2 linked regions of the Styela clava genome follow. The protein of the gene in region 1 purifies or fractionates together with the protein of each later gene. This does not show direct contact. Links are inferred from orthologs where the notes say so. Each region holds a gene or a part of one and is shown on either strand. Other genes may lie near its edges.

Region 1 (8,253 bases):
TAACTACCGTATTAGATATATATATATATATATATATATATATATATATCCACAAGGCGGACGTAAACGAAAATATGGTTGGTACAATCCTAATTGGCAAAATAGATGTCGCCACACCATTATACATCATGAGCGTTAGTATTGAGTAGTCCTTTAAAGTCCACGACATATTTGCGCTCTCTGTCCAAGTTAAGTGTAAATCCTTCTTCATCAAATCCCGGGAATGTAAACTTGCTAATACATATGTTTGATTTCCATTCACAGCTTCTCCATTTTGTTCTTTCGGCTGTTTTGTACCACGGTAGTTGTTTGTGTCCACTTCCATTGTTAAATCTTTTGATGGTTCTGACGGATTCGTTAAGTCTACTTGATGTTGTTGCTTTATTCCAAGCCAGATAGAATGCCAATACTCGAGTAGCAACCGTACTTGTATCCGAAACTAAGCTCGCTAGTTTTTCTACAAAACCCACCAAGTCTAAGCTTTCTGTACACGATTTTCGGCGCTCCAGAAGTATGTGTGCCAATATGAAGGTAACAAATGTCGTTCGCCTACTTTACATCAAGTTGTGTAAATGAACGGAAGCTTATGTGAAGGGAGTATATTCACTTGGCTAATACAAACAGTCCCCGAACTGGGGGTAGAACTAAAATAGGGAAAATCGGAATAAAATTATGGCCTAACCCTAACCTGGTACACATCCTACAGAGTATCCGATTTTCTGCAAATAAAAACAACAACGAGTGGTTCAAGGGTTGTTTCGGGCGATTGTAATTCTGTAAAGGAAATCTCATAATATTCATCTCAACAATTAATATAATTCCCACTATTTCATGCTGTACTAACAGTTCGCCGAACTGTTGTAATTCAAACAGCATATTCGAATGCCTTGCTTTATAATAGTTTCACTTCATAAGTAATACCAGTACTTTTGTCGAATTGAACTTCCCAGGAAGATAAATGGGCAAAGACTACCGCTAATTGATTCTCCCGACTTTCTCAATGTTTTTTTTTTTGTTGTTGATTTTTCAGAATGTCTTCAGCGGAGTTCCAAAGTCATTTTTCTTTAATCTCCTTAAATTGCCAATCTTGTACGCTTCCGCTGTGACAGCAGTTGTTTGGGAGTTTTTGCAAACATTCAAGGCATAGAAAATTTGAATCCTGTAAATTATGTGAAAAATGCAGATAACATACCCTCAACTTTCTCTTTTAGCTCATCGCAAGCCACACCAGGCCCACTTCTAGTCTGCTTTAAATGTCGTTTGCGCTGAGCGTTGTCTTGCTTGGCTTTATTTTTTATTTTTTTCCATGCATCTTTTAAATTCTCTGTTCTGCGACACAAGGTGCCAGTTGCGTTGAATTTAGCTTCGATTTGATATTATCATAAAGCTGGAGGCATCATCATTAATGTCGCAGGCTTTCACATTTTCTTCCAGGATTCTGTGGTGCCCAAGATTCTTGTAGAGATCATCATACAGCTCTTCATGCGATAAACATTTCTCGTAACATTCGTTCACTCCTTATGTCGAATCTACAGCCATTAGATGCCAGCGTCAGAACCGAAACATCTACGCACTCTCGCGGCGACATAACAGGGTTCATATCTACCTGGTGCACAATCAGCAATTTCCCTACACCCGGTGAACAACCCCCTAGAAAATAGTTTATCACTAATAACAAAATATCTACCATATATCGGTTATTGGCCCGACCGCCTCGTTCATCGACAATTTTTGTTTTGTTTTTCACTTTCTGGTAAGTCTCTGGAATTATCCATTTCGTCAAATGTCTGCGTGGCGGCACCTGGTAACTAGGTTCCGAATCCGCAATTAGTCGTATAAATCGTTCGTTTTCGACTATCAAATATGGAACAAAATACGCTCCAATCATTTCGTCAATTTTCTTTGTGATCCTTTCATAGGCGGGATGCGATGATTCATTTTCTGTTTTTCAGCGAATATTTGCGTAATAGTTTGCTGAGTATTCACATCCAGAACATCGACACTCCTTTTCCCAATCACGGCATTAATACTAAGCATTAATACATTAATGAAAGGTTCTCAAATGTTTAATCACCGAGCTGGTAGTATCAATCGATTAATCACTTTTATTTTCGTCACTCAAAAAAAAAAAAAAGGCAAAAAACGGTCAAACAAGAGGACCTGGAGGACAGGCATAACTTAATGAAGAAGTTCAAAACGTACAAGTACGTGCTCGTACACTAAAAACAGTCAAATAAAGACACGATATAAAAACGGGCGATTAGGATGTGAGACACTGATCAAAAGAAGAAAATACTCATTGGTCATTGCTACGAATATAAACTCGACGTTCTTCGATGCTCGGGGGAACATCTATATATAATGTCTCAGCCTCTCCCTCCTCCGGCTAAGTTATCTACTGACTACTGCCATTGCCGGTCTTTTTACCAGTCCATTTTTTTTTATATATCATTTTCCTATAATCTTCTATTTTGTCATTGTTTCCGTGCGTTAACTTTCTTCTCACCGTGTCTGATGTTATTTCACTGAACCTGCTGCTGCTTTTGATATATTTCAAACGCTGTTGTTGCAATATCTGCTCCTATGCTGGGCAATTCTCCTCCTAACCCTGATAGTCCTCCACCTACCTCTCCTGCAAGTGTACCTCCTTTTGCTCCTACGAATCTTCCTCGAATTCCCCCCGCTATATCACTTAATATCCCTCCACTACTCTCCCCATTTTTCGTCGCATTCCTCAGCACTGTGTTTCTTAATTTTTGAAACTCTGCCACTTCTTCCTTTTTAGCATTCGTAATATTTTTAACTCTTCTTATAAGTATCTCTATCTGTCTCTCTCTTTTTACTCCACCCGCTTATTTATCCCCAATATCTCCCTCTGATTCATCTATTCTCATGCGTAATTGTTGTATTTCTATATGATAACCCATCGCATCCGGCATAAATTCATAACTAGCTCCAGTCGCACTCTCTGCATACGCCCACCTTTGTTTCATCCAATTATACCAACTCATTGTGCCTGAAATATATTTTTATAACATTAAATATCTTCATAACGAGGAACAATATTGTTTAATCTAACTCTATATGGTTCAGTCACTCCGTCCTCGATTTCTATCATTATCCGGCACATCCACCCAACAGGGCCACAATCGCGATCAGAGATATGACGATAATAGCCAAAGCCATCCCAGATGATGTCTATTTTAATGTATTGTCGTAGTCGGTCCAGTTCATTTCGGTACTGTACTAATTATTTCTTGTATTACCAAACTTATTTGCCGCCCTCTGGCATCAATTTTGTCTAGTAGCTTTTTTACGACCTTATATTTGTATGTTATCTTTTATAACTTCTTTTATCTTTTTAATTCTTCGTCTCTTTCCGTGGACATATTTGTACTATTCTTCCATGTTTGACTTCAACTTATAAATTCCTATCTTCCCTCCTCTTATATACTTCTTTGGACGGCAGTACCTTACCCTGACAATAATGAACATTAAATATACCCATATTCAGCTCTGCTAGAATGCTAGTTTATTGTAAATGTCACAAACCAACATGATTGTTGGCGCAGAGCCTTGATTAAATCTTAATTGTGGAGCGCGGACTCTGCCCACATAGGGTGTACGGATGGCCAATACCAATACTCTTGACGACCAGGTTGCACTCCCAAAAAGACACGTACTATCACTGTATCAGCATAAGATGTTTTATTTTCTTGTGATGTGTTGCAAACAGTGTAAACCAATACGAACAGACAACGTAGTACGAACAATAAAGTGCGAACAACAATACAGTAGTACGGTTTTCTGAAATACTATGAAAATAATAAATACACAAATATTAAAAAACAAGATCGGGGCAGTATCGTATCAGTAGGCCTATATTATTGTAAACAAACCTTAATTATCTTTATTATGTCACACAATCACCTAATGACCAATTATGGCATCACTAACGGTTATAATAAATAAACAAACAAATTACCTCAGCCGGCATTTTCAAGGCCTGACAGGAAAACAAATACAGACCATGTACAACTTAGAATATAAAACTGTACGTATAAACTCACTTGACGTTGTGTCCTCAAGGGTTGTCAAGCAGTAACTTGAACATTAAATCACAATATCTTGACTGAATTACTTAGCAATATTACAATGACAACTGTGAGGAATATCAATAATACACCATTATTAGCAGTACAAATAAATACCCTACATATATCTATCACTACAAGCCTAAGTCGTTCACTAATTATTCAATTATAAACCCTAAAATACCACTCTCAGACAGACGTCTGCAGCTTCCAGAACCCTGCAGCGTGCGCAGTCCCCTGACGTCACTTCCACAAAGTCATTGTGGTGCAATAGCCAAGCATTCGATGAGCTGGTCCATGGCGCCAACTTGCGGGAGAAATATTAATATTTCAAGATATTGGCGATAACAATGATTATGACTGTAATTTACAAGCCATTCATTGTTATGCATGATACTTAGTGGGACTTCTGGCATTCCTTGGATTGAACAATCTTCATTAAATCTGGCTTGTATTTTGTTGTTGTCAATAGAAGCAGTTCTTTCACAAGGATGCCAGTCAGAACGTATCGCGGCTTGTATTTGTATTTTCACGTGTTTTAAGGTAGAAAAGACAGATTCGTAGACGTATGTAGGCCCAAACATTGACAATAGCCTTTGCCCAGCTCGTTTGACATTGGGGTATTTTTATATTTGCATGCATTTTTATAACTCGATAAAGTCCATTTCAGTTGGCCCTCCTCATGAAGATCGATCATTTCCAACTCAGTCGCAGGCTCATCTGAGACTGGAGAGAATTTTAAACAACCCGTTCCAGGATTAAATGAGTCGATAGTGTTTTGCCCGCTGGCATTTAGCAGAGTGGGAAAATTGGTTAACTTTCTTCCTGGAATATGCGCCTTGAACAGCTTCAGTTTATTAACAAACGAGAACACACATTGCACTATGTCGGGCAGATTTTTTAACTTGCCCTGCAAATTCAGGTTCAGTCTGTTCAAGTGAAAGTCCAGATCCATAATCCACTCGAGGTCCGAGCGCTCGGGATAGTTCTCTTCCATGAACAGCTTCACAGGTCACCCGAAAGCCCTTGATCCAGCTCAGTAATCGGATTGCTGAATTGCCGGTGGTTGAGCGCATGCGTGCAGATGTTCTTATCTGCATTTAACGATTTTTGGACACGTCAGTGTACATAACGATCGTTTCAATATTATGTTGTTGTTTTTGTTAGTATTATTATTCTCTTTCGTCATGATGAAATCGCTTTTCTCTTCGAATACTGGACCAATTTTCAGTGATTAAAGATTGATTTTTTTGCCAGAAGGGTATTTTCTAAATTACTTAAAAATTTCTGTGGACTTCAAGAGATTCGTTTTTTTATGTGTCGGAATAAAAAATAGCGACACGTTGTGACGTGTCCATATATTTGAGCACAGCTCTCTTGTTATTATAGTCTTCGTGACGTTGTCCAAATTCAACGAGTTAGACACGAGTTGCTCCCTGTGAATGATACAGTAATAATGATACAGCCCCACGAGTCTGTTCACACATCCGATTCTTACTGGCGCACCATCCGTGTTTATTGCTGCTATTTTTGATATGGGCAGATTTGCTTTTTCAAATGTAGCCAATATTGCTTTTCACATCTATGCCACGGGTCCTGTCTTTTAATGTCACGATATCAATAAGTTCTTTCTTGATTGAACAATCTTTTGAAACAGATCTTCCGAATATTCCCAATTCAGGCTTGTCTTCTATGTCACAGCTCTAATGCGACACGATGCAAGCGCCACAGTGTCTGAGTGCTTTATGAAATTATGGAAAACAGTTTCTGCTTTTCAGCTTGACTTATCAAATTGATTACCCTTCGGAAATTCATGGTCATGTTATCATGGAGTGAGGTGGCGCTGAGGATTGAGGATTTGAAATGCGCTAGCGATGGCTGACATATAAGGCAGAATGGTTTGCCATTACGTACAACGAAAGATATATGCTCTCCCACTCTGTTAAAAAGGTCCGGCGTTCATCTTCATATTTTCTTTCCTACCATTTTCAGAGCGAACACAAATTGTTTAAATATACTAATACAAAGACAACTAGTTCACGAAGTTCGAGCCTTCCCATTTTTATGCTCGGTCCGCATGTCCTATTTGATAAACTGACCCTAAAACTACAGAAATAAAATACTGTTATATTCAACTACTTACATTTGAATTCAGATGATACCTCTTCAGAGTTACCAGTAGTGATATGAGATAAATATTTTACCCCCAACTTTGCTACCCTAGCAAGGACGAAACGTTTTTTCTGCATTTCGATTACTTCCGTCAAATGGTAAGCTACGCGGTTGCCGCCGGTCTTCGTTTCCTATACGAGTACGACAGCCGTTGCAGTTCAATAAACGATTCTCACACCAACTAATACTATTATGGCGTGATAATGGTCGATTGCATGGTGAACTGAATGAAGAAAGCGCTCGCTTTTAAGCGACTTAAAAGAAGAATGAACTATGATTCATAAATATGACCATCGAAACGTGATGAATCGTAGTCAGCAAGTTTCTTCTTAGAATAACCAAGGCGAAAAGAGCCACATGGGACTCGCGAGCCGCGGGTTGGCCACCCTGCCAATAGATCTCGTACCAGGATTGACATGCTGCAACAGATATCGAATAAGTAGAAAGCAGCATCTTCACAAGGACTATTTATCTTTACAGAAATGGGAACCTGGGCTTCAAGGCTTGTGAACGACAAATAGTTACTTTATATTTTAAATCGCCACCACTCGCATTTCGGATTTTTCTTGGGTAAAAGGTTATTTAAAATTGATTAATTTAGAAATTGTTTTCGTGAGAGGCAACACATCTTTGCTCAGAACACAGCTTTTTTGCAGATTAACCTAAAAATTAAAATAAATTTATGAAACATCTACACATCTAGGTATTTCATTGGCGGACGTCATAAAGGTACCTTCCTTCAATTGTGTGGAGGCTAAACTGGGTGGTTATTTTGTCTTGATCTTTTGCAAGGGCACATCTTATGCTGATATCCTCACGAATTACGCAACAAATGAAGCACTGGAAAATCACGCAAAACGAGAAAATTCCGATGTCCCATAAAATGCACGGCGATAACGCTAACTGGATTTTTCCTGTACAATCACAATGGATGACTCAGGATAAATTTTCGTCCGCGAAAAATTTCGATATGGGAATAGGAAATGACCTATATGGTTGCTGCATGAGAAGGGCGTTTTATGTAGAAGACAACAACGATAAGATGCGTAAACATAGATCTCTCGATGTCCTGTATCACATGAACGACTTGAGGTATGACGACTAGAAATTATAAATTAAATACTGTAGTGACAGGATTGTCTAAGTTTTGGGTAAATATTGCCAAGGTAGCTTATAGTCGTCAGAATGGCAATGTATGTTTTATATTTTTTGTTCGTTCAGGCTAGTTTGTTGGATCATGCGCATGTCAAGCAGGGTCATTCAAATTCACGAGCCGTGTAAATCAAAATGATAAACCTTAAAGCTATATTTGACTCTAAATTGTTTGAGTTGTGCCTCAACTAATAGTCTGCCTCATAGCCTCTACTCAAATATTATTTTATATTACTGCATTTTTTCCACAAAACTTACTCGAAAATGCCAATTAAAACAGCTAATTATGACGGTACTAATCCTGCAATAACCTTAAATATTTTTACAGTTATTTACTTTATATCTAAGCATTTAGCTGTGTCATCAAACCTTTCTAAAAGCAAACATGGACTTTCTTAAAATTATTTTGTTCATCTCTCTCATCTGTGGCTTATTTGCGGAACTAAAAGTACCGGGTAAGATTTGTTTCGGACACAATTACTTGATACACTTTTTTCCACCGCTGGCTTCTGGTACCACGATTGTGAAATATTAAAGATTCCTTAATTTTTATAGAGAGATATCACTCTCAACGCCTATAATTCGGTACTCCCAAAATATTTGAACCAAGATGGCGGACACCGGAACGTGGTACCCATAACTTTTCGCCCAAGATTTCGTTATATTCCATTTCCTATTTTTTTCGTCAGCTGGAGCCTGCGTTTCCAAAATCGTGAATGGAAAACTTGTCCAGGTTGGAGATTGCAAGGTAAGATTTAAGTTTTTATCTTTTTTTTTTATTATTTACTATTTGAATCTGAGCAAGGCTTTGGATAGAAATCACTGTTATGTATAA
Region 2 (8,025 bases), on another chromosome or scaffold:
TGCTTAGTTCCATTTGCTTTTTACAACAATGTCTATTTATGTAATTTGATCATATCATGGCCATGTACAACAAGCAGCCAGTGGGTAATACCTAACGAAATCTAAGGAGTTGCATATCACATATTACTTTTCATAGTATCATGTCGATATCAAGTTTCTGGCAATTTGTGAATTTAGTTGAGTCAAGCAAGTGTGTACTCACATGAGAATATCTTAACGTTGGTTCTTCGCCAATATCATAACTATAAACTTCTACTGTACCATCTTCTCTTCCCACCAAAAGATCAGGCGTTCCGTTCCCAGTCATATCATGATGTGCCAAGCAGGATACCCCACCTAAATTTCTATCATTAGGTAGCTCCCATGTATGATTGGGTTCATCCCTATCAATAAAATGTAAAAGATTAATTTTTCTTGATTTTGATGTCTGCTTGATATTTGATTTAATCATGGTTTTGTTTGATTTCGTACGAACATTTTTTCACTTGATCTGTAAAATCATTCTTCAAACTAGAACACACAGAGTGATATTTTGAGGTTGGGATAAGAATAAATGTTTTAATATATTGTCTATAGACCATTCAGGTCAGACAGGATGATAAATTAGCACGTAAACGGTCAATATACAGAATATACTCAGATGGAAAGTAGACAGAAGCTAATTGGTATAATATTTTTACCTTGACATTCAAGTGATTGCTCAAAGCCTTGGCCGGACAATGCTGGTATAAATTTAAAACCGGGGTACTGGGGTACAAAAGGGTTAAATCTTAGCACTACATAACCCCCACCTGAAATAAGCGTCCTTGGGAGGACTGGGCGACTTTCTAAACAACCTCGTAATAATTTTAAATTTAAACTGATCAAAATAGTGGTTTTATGATATATGGTCATTTGATAGACCCTAGCAACAGCTCTCAGCTCTACATACCTGCCAACGACAATATGGCCAATCGTTCCATCTACAGTCCCATATATTATTTCATTTCCCTCTTCACCTGCGTTACCAAGGTAAGGAACTATGCATTGTGGAACACCAGCTACTTCAATTTCATATCGTAGCTCAGTGCCCTGTATAAAGATTTATTTAGAAATTATACAATGAAATTAAGCTAGGGAGCTTTATGTAGAGGTCTAGACAAAATAGGTGGAGAATAGCAAAAGTAATCAATTCCAAAGTGGACAGATAGACAATATAATAATATCGAGGATGGTTATTTAACATCACCTATATTTTGATCAGATGAAACCATAAGATACTGTGAACATATGTATTGCTGAGGAATGTTCTGCAATTTGATCCATGCTATTTAATGCTTTGTGCTAGATAATTTATCTGAAACTTGTTTATCTGAAACTTAATTTATCAAAGCACATCATAAATATTTGATGCCAATAGGTATTTGAGAATCAATAATATGTGGGTGGCTGATAGCTGGTAAGTTATTGCTCTATTTACTATCAAGTCCATGCATCTGAAACAAATAACTGGTTATTTATTCCTTTATCGACATGAACTGGTAACGGGACGTAGGACGTAGTTCGCCATATGATTAAGTTTTGTTATTAAATTTCCTATTCATGGGATAAATATGAAAATTCTAAGCTATATTCAAGATGCTGAGTTGAGATTTAAGATTCAAGTTGATAAACAAAAAATATCCAAAGCACACATTTTTTATTATCGTCAAACTTGTAAGATCATCTTACATCAAGAACACGAAGTAATCTGTCATTGCAAGCTAGAATTGGTGTGAAATTGTCGCCTTCTTTTCGAAGTACAGGAATACATATGATATCATTTATTTTATCGCTGCTCAGATAATATCCTTTGTCAATGCAATCACAAAAATGATTGTAAATATATTCTCCTGCAATGAGAAGGTCACTTCCGCTCACACAACTAGAAATGAAATTGAAAATAATTAAATCATAAAAAGAAACACGAGGTTTTCTATACATTTTATCTAAACAAGGCATTTTATAAGCACCATAAAGATATTTCTGGTCTTGCAATGACAGGGTGAAGAGGATTTAGAACTGAACAAAGACCTGAAAATCTTTGGCCTGTGATATCATGATAGCCAAGACGCCACATCAGGCAATTATTTCTGTATATAAATGTGATTTTGCTTTAGTCACTCAGGTGATCTTACTTTGTAATATTTTATACAAAAATATGTAGCAAAATTTTGCAAAGAACATTTATATCATAGCTACAATAGAGCATAAAAGTTCGATAAAATCAAATTCTATATCATACAGAAACTATCCCTTAGATATACAGGGTGACCCAAAACACAGAACCCATAAATCGCAACAATTACGGTAATTAAAACATTATTTAACATTTGAAATTCTTTTTGTGTATGATTCTACCAAAAAGTTTTACTAATCTAGGATGCTTCACACAAAAGTTATGTTCCCTCCAGAATATGTTTTAACTGATCTAGATTTTGTATTTTGGGTCACTCAGTTAACATTTATTATCTTACATGCACTTTATGTTTTCTGTAATATTTGTGTCAAATCCTAGAAACTTTTTTCCTTTTCTTGAGTAGCCGTGCACAACAGAACCAGATGCAACAAATATTTTATCTTGCGGAGTTCCTAATGCACCACCCAAATCCAGAAAATTGTTTGGTTCTCCTGGCAAAGTCTTGAAAACATTCTGAAAAATGAGATTTTACCATAAAAAATTGTTTATTTTGCAATCCGAAGATAATAAATAAATTATTTACAGAAATATCTCTTTTTTTCGATCCAAAACAAGTAACAACCCCGCTCTTGTCCGCAACTACAACTTTCTGCAAAATTCTTTTTGATTTTTCATTGTTGGGTAAAACTTTCATGCAATTTTTTCCGGTAACTGCGACCTGTGATATGAAAAAACATATAGTATTGACAATGACAAGTATAAATTTATCTGGTATTTTGACATCATAAATGGAATTTTATCTAAATTAAGCCGAGATGATTCTCTGTCAAATACAACTGTTAATAGTCAGTGCCCAGAACATAAGAGCATAGTTCAATGCAATAAGCTCACAGCATAGAGGTTAGCTTACAAGGACTATGTCGATGTTACAGCTTGAGTAATACTATAAGCAAAATAAAAAAATACCTGCAAGTAATCCACCCTGTGAAGATCCAAATCCATGTGTGAAAAATATTCTAATAAATTATTTATACACTATAAAAATACAGCGAAGTTGTCATAAATTGATAGATACAGTGAGTGATATAAACTGGAATTATAGGAAGCTTTAAATGATACAAGCATGTAATGAAACTAAAACAAAATAAGTTGACAGTGAAATACATAAATACTGGGAATATTTGAAAATGACTTGAAACTGAAATAAGTATGAGTATATATATATAAGCCTTAGAAATCTTATAATGCCATACTATAGAACAAACACTAAAGAGAACATGGAGACATAAAATTTAAAAATTATACTGTATCAATGCCTAGGTTTTGTTCCCTAAATTATAAAAATATATCGAAAACTATTGAATAGTTGTGTTCTACTGATTGAATGCAACAAAAAGTTATCACAGAATATCACAATGAATTTATTTCGCCACAAAATTACAGTAAAGAAACTGAATTGGATTTCAACAATAAAGTTGTTATAAACACTGAGAATAATGATAAATGGAACCACAAAAAAAAATTCTGGGTTAAATTAAAAAGAGTATTTAGCTATCAATGATATATGAAACAATCTTTTAATTACAGAATGTGACAATTTCCCTATATTTAATAATAAATTTCAACTAGCGGTTTTCAAAATATCTCAATATGAAGTTTTTGCTAACGATTTGGAATTCATTGTTTTTCTTGTTCTTCTCTTTCCATTTGTGCCAGAGCTTTCTTTTGTCTCACGCCACGTAGTTTACGAATATCTTCACTGTACTGTTGTTCTCGTTGTAGCTGCTTTTTCTGTTCTTCCAATTCTTGTTTATGCTGATTTAAAACCTGACTTCTTCTGATTAAATTAAGAAGTTCCGCTCTGAGTTGTCGATTTTCATACTTTATATTTGTTGTATGTTCGTTCAAACATTGAACAGCTTTTTTGTTAGCTTCCAGAGCTAATGCTTGAATTTTATTTTCACTCTCTTCAGTATATTCTGCCTTTTCCTGCAAAAATTTTGCTTTCAGCTGTTGAATTGTGTCCGAATGTTTTCCACGCATGTGTAGAACTTCACGCTCGAGTTGCTTTATTTTTTTCAACTGATCTTCACGAAGTTCTCGATATTCACCTAAATCTTGAAACTCTTTTCTCGCTTTTGTGAGTAAACTTTCTTTTTCCAAAAGAGTTGCTTTTAACTTATTCTTTTTCTCTTCATAATCCGATAACATTTGTTCTTTTTGAGAATTTATTTTTTCAAGTTCCTTCTGGTTTTGATCGCTTAAAGACACAATTGTTGTTTGACGTTTATGTGTCTTTTTTGCCATGTATGACATGTATTCATGGCTTTCAATTCTGGTATGTTGAGCTTCTTGTTGTAATACTTCATTTTCTTTTCTGAGTTCCTCTGACTGCTTTTTAAGTCTTTCTAAATCGTTAGTCAAATGATTCAGTTCTTTTTTTAAATAAACTTCTCTGTCAGTAGGACCTGTAGGCTCCTTAGCGTTTTCTGCATCATCAGCAGGTGCTTCATCTGCAGCTGCCTTTTTGCCCTTCTTTTTTCCACCTTTCTTTTTGGGCGGCATATTATGTTATCTTAGTTCTGAAAATAAATTATACATTGATTTATTATGTTATGAGAGTATGATAAGTAGCCTGATAAATATTTCAGTGCATTTTATATCCCGATGCACTGATAACTGTATGGAATATTTGAAAATAGCGGCATCAATATTCCTTACACCTCCAGACCTCAGTAAGCCTATATTAAAAAATTTAATATTCAAATGTTTTGAGATCATTTACCATAGTACAGTAGTAGGTTAGTATACTAGTATGTTTTATGTTATAACATTATGATAGGCTATACATCCACCAATGACTTGTGGGTCACAAAGCGACAGTGAAGAATTAACGAAAAGAGCATAAGACTTCGAACTATATACTACTCTGCAGTTTATAATTCACGCATACAATGCCTTCAAGAAAACAAAATTTTATTGACCTAATTTACAAACATAGCAATCTGAAATAAAAACTGAACAGGATGGATTTATGTGATTGGATTAAAAATTATAATTCTCCTAGAGTTGAAATCCTTTGCAAAATCTTTTCAATCCCATAAGACGATTTGCTGTAGTATTACTGCATTGTAAACGATTTTCGATTAATTTATACACATGCGAATCCATGTTTTTATAAATCAATGTCATAAACTAGAGTACCATAAATCACCACTAACTTCTGAACTTATAACTATACCTATAAATGTGGCATGTGTGAAGCTCAAAGATACACAATACAAACCAAGGATTATAAAACTTGTGAAAAAGATGAAACATCATGTTTATAATTTTGCGAGCTTCAATGAATATCTATGACCCACTGTCTTTTTCCCCAGTTTCCACAATCCAGCAATCACTGAATCATGCAATAAAAAAATGATGATTGGCTCATTCATGAAATACAGAAATAAGGTTCGCCACCAATGATATAGGTTTATGTCCACCTTACTGGGTCACAACCTATCGAGGTTGCTCAACTTTTGAACTATTAATAAGACTTGAATGGTCAAAATTGTAAATTGCATAATGGAAAAACACAGAAACACCGCGGTTGGACGTGTCGGTTAACGTCCTCGTGCCACAGTTTGCAGAGAATCGTTGACGCTGAAATCTGAAAATTGCGTTAGAACGTCCTACTGTCCTGTCTGGATATCAATTTTGATGTGAAAAAGCGCGCTACACGAGCAGTTAAGTCTGCTTGTATTTCATAATTTACAAACAGTTGTGGTAATGAACGTCAGGGCGTAACGAAAATTAGGCAAAAAATGAAAAGCGATGTTGGTTTGTTTTCTGCCGAAATATTTCAAATTTTATGCTTGGATGAGCAAAACCTTGGTTACATCATACGCATGATTGATTTCGAACGGTAAGTACGTCAATTTAAATTATTGTGACTTTCTTGACATGAATAAAACAACAAAAAAATACAGTCATACGAAACTGAGAGTAATCCTAGTACGAGTACCGGTATACCGTAACTAACACCAACGTAAGCAACGTTCAAGCACGCGGCCACTCACCAACTAGACAGTATCGTTTTATTTTCCCATTAATCAATAATGAAAGAATGTTGCGCACCCTGTTTTTACCTAAAATTTACAGGGGTGAGCTAGAACTTTCGGTTGCAAATGAAATTGTTCGAACTGGCTTGAGCCACAAATCTGATCCTAATTCGAAAACAGCAGGCAACATCATTGCTCATCATCTTAAAATGGCCTCAATGTCATTCCACCAGGAGCCCAACTACACAAAAAGTTAGTGGCCAGCTGATAAACTTCCATCAAAACGTACATCTGAGATGGCTGCATTATCGCTATATTCGGATAACTTCTAACAGAAACAACTTGCTGAGGAATCAATAAGATATTGTGGATATACTTTACAATATTATTACACCTTTGTTCACAAACAGTTGCTTATTTTGAAAACAGACAAAAATGATAAATCATCATATGATGATTAATTAATTTGCTAAAAGCATCATTAACATCACGGAAAACGGATCGCTATATTCAAATAACTTCCCAACAGAAACATCTGGTTTTATATGGTCGGATGAACACATCTATCAAATAATGTACCGTATCTGCTTTCTAATATTATAACCCCTTCGTGCACAGACAGTTGTTCACAAACAGTTGCTTATTTTGAAAACAGACAAAAATGATAAAATTATCATATGATGATTTATTAATTTGCTAAAAGCATCATTAACATCACCGAAAATGGATCGCTATATTCAAATAACTTCCCAACAGAAACATCTGGTTTTATATGGTCGGATGAACACATCTATCAAAAAATGTACGGTATATGCTTTCTAATATTATTACACCTTCGTGCACAGACAGTTGTTCACAATAAAAACAGGCAAAAATGATAAAATTGATTTATTAATTTGCTAAAAGTACGCATTAAGATGTGTCAAGACCATGTTTCTTGTTGATATTTTTTATTTTTCTGCATAGTTTCATAAAATTCAAATGCTTCTTTTTCGGTCATCTCTCCAAATTCTTTAAAAATCTTCAAGAAAGCATCTCGGACACTATCCGGCATGTTTTTTGAATTCCTAAACATAATAGAGATAAGATAAATTGATACTGACTAAAACAATGATTAACTTATAATAGAGAATACCTACCCTGCTACATAGATATTTCCATTGCATTTACTAATAATATCCCACAGTAATTGACCATGTTCCGCTATCCTGTGCTGAACATAAATTTTTTCATCTTGATCTCTTGAAAATGCAGTGAATAATTGCAGACATCTATCTTGAATCAAACTATTCCACTCTTCTTGAAAATAAAAATCAGCATCCTTATTCCGACATCCAAAAAAGAGAACATTTCCTGAAAAAGGGAATTTTACATGCAATGCAATTACGTATTTCAGAAATTTTCAGTCTAAACCAACCTATAAACCAGTGCTTCTCCACCTTTTATAGTTGTGGAACCGCGATATGCTATTGGGCTCATCACAGAACCTTTACTAACAATTATCCAAAACAGCCATAAACATATAAGTCAAATTTTTCAGTGTTGGACACTCTGACAACGAAAAGTCATCACAGAAGATAAAATGGCTCAATGTTGCTCAATGAAATATTTATACATATCTACACTATTCGAACGACTTCTGGTTTTATTCTTTATAGTTGGTAAACTAATAGATATTGGAAAATTGACACAGAGAGAAACCACAACTCGAAGAGAAACCCCAACCGGACACTACAGAATTCTCAGAACTCACCTAACCCCAGTTGAAAAGCACTGATATAAGCCAATTACAGTATCAACAGTGGGCACTGTGTTCAAAAT

What was found. Proteins that work in one complex are often made in the same cells at the same time.
Region 2: the proteins of leucine zipper transcription factor-like protein 1 (region 1) and BBSome complex member BBS7-like purify together in Homo sapiens (affinity purification with mass spectrometry; 3 studies listed by BioGRID and IntAct, counting the BioPlex papers as one, with this or other methods). This does not show direct contact. The link is inferred for Styela clava from reciprocal best matches to the Homo sapiens genes LZTFL1 and BBS7.

The regions. Positions count from the first base shown.
Region 1 is NC_135252.1:24,401,568-24,409,820, forward strand, and holds the start of leucine zipper transcription factor-like protein 1, read left to right. Parts: upstream 1-5,142; 5' UTR 5,143-5,153; intron 5,154-7,763; exon of another isoform or gene 7,764-7,803; coding exon of another isoform or gene 7,804-7,873; intron 7,874-8,107; coding exon of another isoform or gene 8,108-8,166; intron 8,167-8,253. Other genes in the region: uncharacterized protein LOC120343336, read left to right, coding at 7,804-7,873, 8,108-8,166. UniProt on the Homo sapiens protein: Regulates ciliary localization of the BBSome complex. Together with the BBSome complex, controls SMO ciliary trafficking and contributes to the sonic hedgehog (SHH) pathway regulation. May play a role in neurite outgrowth. May have tumor suppressor function.
Region 2 is NC_135263.1:9,596,797-9,604,821, reverse strand, and holds the start of BBSome complex member BBS7-like, read right to left. Parts: upstream 3,282-8,025; 5' UTR 3,161-3,281; coding exon 3,125-3,160; intron 2,877-3,124; coding exon 2,742-2,876; intron 2,672-2,741; coding exon 2,496-2,671; intron 1,904-2,495; coding exon 1,711-1,903; intron 1,072-1,710; coding exon 932-1,071; intron 384-931; coding exon 203-383; intron 1-202. Other genes in the region: coiled-coil domain-containing protein 166-like, read right to left, coding at 3,836-4,723; NADPH-dependent diflavin oxidoreductase 1-like, read right to left, coding at 7,127-7,271, 7,344-7,557.